2 linked regions of the Mus musculus genome follow. The protein of the gene in region 2 interacts with the protein of the main gene of each other region in a biochemical or structural test. Links are inferred from orthologs where the notes say so. Each region holds a gene or a part of one and is shown on either strand. Other genes may lie near its edges.

Evidence for each region. The genes of interacting proteins can lie anywhere in the genome.
Region 1: the proteins of Tnks (region 2) and Tnks1bp1 form a complex in vitro, tested with the Homo sapiens proteins (2 studies listed by BioGRID). The link is inferred for Mus musculus from reciprocal best matches to the Homo sapiens genes TNKS and TNKS1BP1.

What each region holds. Positions count from the first base shown.
Region 1 is NC_000068.7:85,048,974-85,053,396, forward strand, and holds the start of Tnks1bp1 (182 kDa tankyrase-1-binding protein), read left to right. Parts: upstream 1-1,486; 5' UTR 1,487-1,587; intron 1,588-1,887; 5' UTR 1,888-1,906; coding exon 1,907-2,000; intron 2,001-2,951; coding exon 2,952-3,582; intron 3,583-4,423.
Region 2 is NC_000074.6:34,853,840-34,857,725, forward strand, and holds part of Tnks (poly [ADP-ribose] polymerase tankyrase-1), read right to left. Parts: intron 3,695-3,886; coding exon 3,615-3,694; intron 2,235-3,614; coding exon 2,089-2,234; intron 1-2,088.

The DNA of each region.
Region 1 (4,423 bases), on a different chromosome or scaffold from region 2:
GGACTCGGAGCCTGTTTTCATCTCTGCAGCTCTTTCTAACCTCAGAGGTGTCCATCAAGCCCCTATCTCAACCGCAGGTGAGAGGGTTTTTCTGTTTTGGACTAGTTTTTCTCCATTTCTAACCACCTTCACCATATCCCTTGTAATAATGTTCAAGGACAAGCAAGCAATCTTGTATATATTTTTAATTTAATTTAATTTTTCTGTCATCTCTCCGCCTTCAAGCGTTATTCACCCACATACAAGGAAAACAGCCCCTGGTAGTTGGCTGATCAGCCTTTTGACATTGACGGAGTTACTGTCTGTACCCTCTTTAAATAAGCTGGGACAGGGTCAAGCGGATGGGGACATCTTTTGCAAAGGCTGGGCACCACAGGTCTCTTAGAATTGAGAACTGTCTTCTCAGAGCAGCTGGAGTGGGAGGGGAGCCTTGAGGTTGGAGAGGGTTGGGTTGCCCTCCAGGGCTCTGTGCATTCCATGTGTTTGGCATGTCTCCCTTGCTCTTGAACCAGAGGAGCAGTGTTCACTAGTCACCACCAGAGCCGGAGGGGGGGCTTGAGAGTGGGAGGGTGCTTCAGCAGCCAGGGTGGGAACTGAGGGGGTGGAAGGCCTGAAGAATTTGAGGTGGGGGGGACATGAAGGAATGGTCTAGAGACGCAGCCTACGGTAGGGGGAGAGGTAGGTAGAGGTGGTTACCAAGGATGCTAGTTAGCTCATGGGAGACACTGAATGGAGTCACATTAATAATGGCCAACTGTTACTTACCACTTCCAGGCTTGGTATTTTGCATGCATTGTTTGACTTGAAACTCATTTAATACTTTTTTTTTTTTTTAAGCAGTATGCCTTAGACTAGTCGCACAGCTCTGAAGTGACAGACCCATTTAGTTGTTAGATCTTACAATATCAGCTCCAGAGGCTCCTGGCACAGGCTACTACCATGTGGCTATCATCTGGTTTAGTTTCTTCTGACCCCTCAAAACTCCTTTAGGGTGCACACCCATTCCTATGTCACAGGCTTTTGCAGGTCCCTCCCTGACTGTCCTGGAAGGGGCAACCCCAGGGAGTTTTCCTCTCAGTTACACCCCCCACCCCACAAGCAATCAAGCCCAGTCTGTCCTCCCTGCCCATCCTGGGCCGGCTCCTCCTTCCCCTTGGCTAGGCCCTGGAAATCCAGTGGGAGGCCATTGCTATGGTAACAGGACTAGGCCCTGGCTTTACCTCATCAAATTCCAAGCTGAAGCCAAAACGATTGAGAAATTAAAGGGAAAAAAATGTATTCCAGATGCTTACTTTTTATTTCTTATGTCCCTGTGTTTGGATGAGACAGCTCTTGAGTGCTGGAGGGGGGCAGGGATGTGAAAGGAGAATGGGGGGGGGGTAGGGAGCCACTCCCAGCCGTGGAGGGAGGGAGGAGAATGGGAAGAGGGGGGCCGGCTGTGGGGCGGAGCCCCAGGTTGGGGAGGAGCGGGTTTTTCCCGTCCCATGAGGTGATTCCAGAGACTTGAGAGTTTCTGGCCTTCTTGCTCCGCTCAGAGTGGACACCTCTAGTGGGGCTCCCTGACCCGAGAGGGTTGCCTCAGGAGCTGTAAGTAGGGTATCACAGGACGGATCCTGGGGGTGGTGTGGGTGGAGGTGGCTCCCTCCTGTGCTGGATCACTGAGGTTCAGAGCCAAGGGTTGGAGAGTCGTGTCAAGAGTTGAGGATGTGGCTGTGGGAACCTTCCCGGCCTCCCCCTGGAGTTCGCTCTTCCTGTCCCACACTGCCTGGGTTAGAAATAGACTTCCTTGGCTAAGCCTGTTGCCTTTCTCAGCTTTCCCTTCTCCACCTCTCCCTTCCCTGGGTCTTCAGTCACTTCGGCCGGCTCACACTGCTTCCTATTTCTCAGGCAGGGTGTGCCCTATGTGATGAAAGGATCCACTCTCAGGGAAGGCACAGCCATGGCTTCCCCACTGCCCCAGGATATGGAGGAGGAGCTGGCGCCTGTTGGCTCCGAGCCAGGTACCAATGGGTGCTGGGTGCAGGGTGGGGCCGTTGGCTGGGAGGAGGGCCGGGGGTGGGGTGGAGGCTGCACCCCTCTTCCGTCCCGGCAGGTAGCTGGAGTGACAGTGGAGGTGAGAGGCAGTGAGTCTGAAATGAGTGCTCACGGGCCTTGGCATCTGGTGGGAGTGAGGTAGAGCCCCAGCCGGTATGGAAGCAGAGCCTTTGAGACAACTCCAGGGAGCCTTGGAGGAGGAGACACTGAGGCACAGAAGGAGAATGGAGTGCCCTTCTTTCTCCCTGTCTAGACTTTTTAAATGCTTAGCTGAATGAGTGGGTGATACAAGATTCTATTATAGAAGGTTGTGGCCGTGAGTAATTCCCAAGGTCTTTTATTTGGCATTACAATGCCTTATATAGAAGGTGGATTTCTGCCCTTGTTTTTTTTTTTTTTTTTTCCTTCTTCCTTCCTGTGGCAGATTTACTTCTGTTTGACATAGGTCAATAGAAAGCTTGCATTCCTGATAATGAACTGGATGACTGAGGTGGCAAGAGGAAGAGGTGCAGCAGGGTGTACAAGGGGAGCTCAGCTAGGGTCAAAACTTCACTATGGAAATGTGGTGTAAAGAAATAGGGCTCCATCGGGTTCCCAGGCTGACAGTATGGTGAGGCCAGGCAAGTGGGTATGCTTATCTGCTCCATTCATTCATTCGATAGGAACCTGTGTTAGGAGCAAAATAGGATGCTAGAGGGATAAGGGGTCAAAGCCCACGTTGTAGGAGTTTGGAGAAGGTAGGCTATATAATGGGATGTGAAAAACCAAGGAAGCCTTCCTGGAACAGGCGGTACTGACTTGCACCTAGAACGATGGGTTCCAAGGTTGGAGTGTGGAAGATTCGGTGCAGCAGGAGTCACAAGAATTTATGTCTCATGGTTCTTCTGACAGTTCCTAATGAATCCTTCCTTCCGAAGGTGACCCACGAGCCAAGCCCCCTGTCAAGCCCAAACCCCGGGGCTTGCCCAGCAAGCCAGCTCTGCCTGCCAAACCCAGCCTCCTGGTGCCTGTTGGGCCTCGCCCTCCTCGGGGTCCCCTGGCTGAGCTGCCTTCTGCCCGGAAGATGAACATGCTGGCAGGACCTCAGCCCTATGGGGTCAGCAAGCGTCCCCTCCCGTTTGCACCAAGGCCTTCAGCTGAAGCAACCGCTGGAGGAGACGTTACCCAAGAGTCTGGGAAGGAGGATGCTGGGAAAGAAGACTTGCCCCCTCTCACACCCCCAGCTCGGTGCGCTGCCCTGGGAGGTGTGAGGAAGGCCCCTGCCCCTTTCCGTCCCTCCTCTGAGCGGTTTGCAGCCTGTACAGTAGAAGAAATTTTGGCCAAGATGGAGCAGCCACGGAAAGAGATCCTGGCCAGCCCTGACCGCCTCTGGGGCTCCCGCCTCACTTTTAACCACGATGGCAGCTCTCGATATGGCCCCAGGACCTATGGTGCCCCCTGCCCCAGAGAGGAGGATAGTAAGTCCCCTGCCAAAGGACGGTCCCAGGAGGGGACAGCAGAGATTCCTGCAGAGTGCCAGGAAGAGCATAGCAAGACTCCTGAGGAGAGGTAAGGGCTGAGAAGAGTTTGTATAGTTCCTTGAAGTCTTAAAGGGGCTATGGAGGAAGTGGGCTCAAGTTTGGGTTATCATCTTTACTGTCAGGTTACTTAGGTGAATTCAGGCAAACCCAGGCTAAGGCCCAGAGCATCTCTGTAGCAAATGGTGGAGTTACTTCTCTCTCTCTCTGTGTGTGTGTGTGAGTCTGTGTCTGTGGTGCATGTGTAGTGTTAGGAATTGAACCCAGGGCCTTGTTCATGCTAGACAAGTGCTTTATCATTGAGCTACATCCCCAGCCCACTGTAGTTCTCTTTACAGAGTTGATACGTGTTATGCTAGAGAGGCATACTATTCAGCAGACTAGTTTGTAGTCCATTGAGTACATATCCGTGCTATTTGGAGGAAGGGATTGATAAGTCCATTTTAGAGATTGGAAAATCAAGGCTCCAGAGTGACTTCCTGGAGTCTCTCAATTTAAATCCCGATGTGTATGATTCTAAAACCTGTGATCTTAACTGCTAGGTCTCATGTGGCAGAGCACCATGCGGGGACCTCAGGGAGGGGTATGTTGGAATCTGTACAGTACAGATTTCCCCTCTGAGGAGGAGTGTGATGCGCTTCAACTAATTTCTGCATAGAGAATTCTTCTATTTGGAGACATTTTCTCAGTTGCACTTCTTACCCATAGCCGGCCTGCATGTAAGGGAGGCCTCCTTGGGTTAGTGGACACATGATCTGGAGGGACATGAGGGATTTGGCCACCTCAGGCTTTTCGGGACAAGAGAGCACCAGCCTGAAGCATGCAGAGCTAGGCCCAGTGGTTGGCTTCCCTCTCCCACTGTGGTGGCCAGG
Region 2 (3,886 bases):
TAATTCAAACACTCATAATTTAAAAACAAACAACTTTTCAATATAAAGCCTTCTATCACAGCAATCGTTAATCTTGAAATACAATATATACTGATTTATTCTTATCGCTCTATCTACTCATCTATTCACATTTGTGTGTGTGTTTGTGTGTGTGTGTGTGTGTGTGTATATCACTCATAGAATTTTAAAAAATACTTTATTTCTGGTAGCACTAGGATTAAGAGTCAGGGTCTCCCGCATGCTAGTGGCACTCTACCACTGAGCTATACACACCCAGACCTCTCAGTTTAAATATAGGTTTTCCTATACTCATTCCATAAGCCAAGCAGGCACCAAGTTCAAATCCTACTGCCTCAGCCTCCCAAATGGCTGGGACCCCAGGTCTGCGTAACACAATCCTTTCAATTCTTACTTGTACCCTAGCAATATAAAGTCCTGTATACTACAAAGTATTAGCACACATAATTAACCAATCTACTTTTTATCATCTCTCAGATTTTCTTTGATTTGTATTTTACTAATGAAAATTGCCAGCTTACTCATGATACACAATATAAAATAATGTAATATATAACACATAAACACAATACATTCTACTTATTCAGTTTGTATCTTTCACCATTTGTTTTAGTTATTTTTAAGTTCATAATGATTCGAGAGCGGTTTCTCTGCATGACTTAAATATTGAGGTACAAAGCAATGGAAACTCAAAGTGATTTCAGAAGAGAATTCACACTGGCCATAGTAGTGCATGCCTTTAATCCTAGAATTAAGGAGGCAGAGGCAGGAAGATCTCTCTGAATTTGTAGCCACCCTGGTCTACATAGCAAGTTTCAGGCCAGCCAGAGATACAGAAAACCTTTGTCTCAAACAAACTCCATCTAAAAAAGAAGAATATCATCAAGGAAAATAAAATTCAATTATAAATTCTACTCAGCTAAGAGAATCTAAACCTCTCATCTTCTGAGTAAGCTCCTTCAAAGAAAGCAGGTGACATTCTAAAAGGCAGCACAAAAAAAGACACCCTCTCAAGAGCCGTGCACTGAAGGCAGCGTACGTGGACGTAGGACATGTAAAAACAATCAGTTATGCAGTGACTCTTTAGAGATTAGTGTCATCTACAACAAAGGCTTGATGATGACACATGCCAGTACTAAACTAAGTCATAGAAGCAACACTGGCTGCTCTCCAACGCATTGCAGTACTTTGAAACAACCAGTGAGGGGTTCTGAATCGTCATGCATGGTGCATGGCTTGAGAAAGATAAAACACTTAACAGTTACTCAAAGCCTGAGCTACATCTTTTTACTTATGGCGCAATGCTGAGTAAGTGCACAAAATGGGGCCCCCTCATCTGAGCAGCTATTAAACTGACTCAGGATACAGAAATTGATTTTGGTTACTATTCTTAGATTTATAAGTAGCCACTTTAAAAGTTTTACCTGGTGTATCAAGTAATTCATCTAATATAAAAATGTCAATAACTTAAATGAGCAGAATCGAAATTATATTTCTATTATAATTGTGGGATGGATTAAATTCTTAGAAGAATTTTTTAATAGCAAAAAAAATAATGAAAGGATAAACAGTAAATTACAGATTACATGAAAATATTCGTAAAGGAAATAAAATCCTATACACAGGCATGAAAGGATGCACCAAATTGGAAGACACAGTGCAAGAACAGGTGATGACCAGAGCAGACTGGAAAGGCATCCTCACCCAGGCACCGAGCCAAGAGACATGGTCACAGTCCAAGTGACTGCCAGCTGCTGGACACAGCTCAGGACAGAGCTGGCCGACTGTAATAGGCAAACTGTTCATGTTCTAACTTTAGGGTGACCGATGACTCAATCTTCAATTTCAATATGTATGTCTATTTAAGTAGTAATTTAAATGAATCATGTATATATTTTAATAAGAAAAGCATCTACGACACTAAAAACAGCAATATTTAAAAAAGCAGTATGTCATTTGTAAATTTTTTGTTCCAAAGAAAACAGCTATATTCTGTAGATAAAAAGTATGCGATTTTATTTAATTTTATGTACTTTATCTAAGTATGAATGGATTTGCACATTCACATACCCTTTGTCTTTGGCATGGACATCAGCTCCATGATGTAGAAGGTACTCAACGACAGACACACGGTTATAGCCTGCAGCGAAGTGTAAGGGTGTAGAGTGCCGGCCCTCCAGGTCTCTGCAGTTCACATTCTGCGGGCTGCAGAGTTGCTTTTGTGGTGTACACACAGACACAGAGTCAGAGACAACACCATTAACAATCGTTCATAGACTTTGCTCTAAACTGGGCAGCATTTTAAAATACTATAATGAGATAGTAAATATTCTCTACAGATGAGATGTATAAAAATCAGCACCATAGCCAGACATGGTGAGGCATACCTAAAAGTCCCTGAGCTGGAGAAGGTGACAGAGAATGACCTCCAATTTGGGGCCAGTGCGGGTTACGCAGTGAGTCTGAGGGCAGTCTGGGCCACATGATGTTTCAGAAAGCCCCAAAGGAGAATCTGCATTATGTTTGGCATTACTGTGACAGCAGAGCTGAGTGTACAGAGGAATTTAGTATTTGTTGGAGACCCTAGTCCAGTCCCTAACCTAACCGATATCCAAGGGCAGCCAAGGAAGCCTCCCGTCTCATCCATGTCCATCTCCCTCCCTCCCTGAGACTCCTCACAGATGCATCCTGTGGTATGCTTAGTTTGGTCTCTGCTCAAATCAGACCAACCTGAGCTGACTACATGGAACCAAAGAACCTAAAGAGAGTTCCCGTCTCCTTGAGTGTGGGTCAAGAGACACGTGCTCTCTAAGTCCCACAATTTTGTGATTCTAGTCATTCTTTGATGAATGTCAGAACAATTTTATATCCTGTTTTTCAAATTTTAAAATACTTTAAACAGAGAAGCAGAGAGGAAGGGGAGGAGAGAGCACCACTCTTATAGTACAGGCTATCCCAGAATGCACAAGGATCCTCATGGCTCGGCTTTCCGAAGGGATGAAAGGCATGAGCTAACACACCCAGCTAACTTCTATTTCTTAGCTTTTGAGAAAAAACATACCAGACCTAATTCTCAATTTGTATGCCTTCTTTAGACACTTACACTCCACTGTCAAAAATAAAATTTTCTCTTAATGTGAATGCATTGTTTAGCAACTTGAAAGCACATTTTGCCTACTTGCACACAAATATATGAAATTAAAATTTGTGTTCTGGCCAGTAAGATGGCTCATGGGAGTAAAGGTACGTTCGGCCAAGCCCGGCAGCTTGAATTCAATTCACAGGTTGCCCGTGGTGGAAGGAGATAACTGATTCCTTTGACTTTACATATGCACCATGGCACATGTGCACACATGCTCATGCATGCACATATAGAGTAAAGTTCATGCTATTATATGTAATAAAAATGTATGTGTCTATCTTATTTTATTTTATGGTTTAGGTGCTATAAGGACATACTAGGAGAAATCTTGGTAGTACTCTTCTTTGTGTAGATGTACCCTGCCCATTGTTCTACTATGAGTCCCTTCGTTTAGATCCATTTAAGTGAGGTGGGCAGCGCGAGTCCAACAGCCTTGGTGAAGGCGCTGACTTACCTTCACAGTTTCCAAGTCACCAGCTTTCGATGCCTCTAAGAGACGATAGTCCACGTCCGAAGTGCGCATAGGAGTACTCTCTGTATCAAAGGAGGGAAAGACTACTGTTGGAGAAAGTTATGCAAGGAAGACTGCTTAATGAGGGAAAAGAGATTATGGGTCGGACATTACTGTGATATAATGGCTCCTTCCTCCATCTTACATAAGAAATACTTTTTTACTTTTTACTTCAATGTATATCTCATCTAAGTCAAATTTAAATATATCATAAC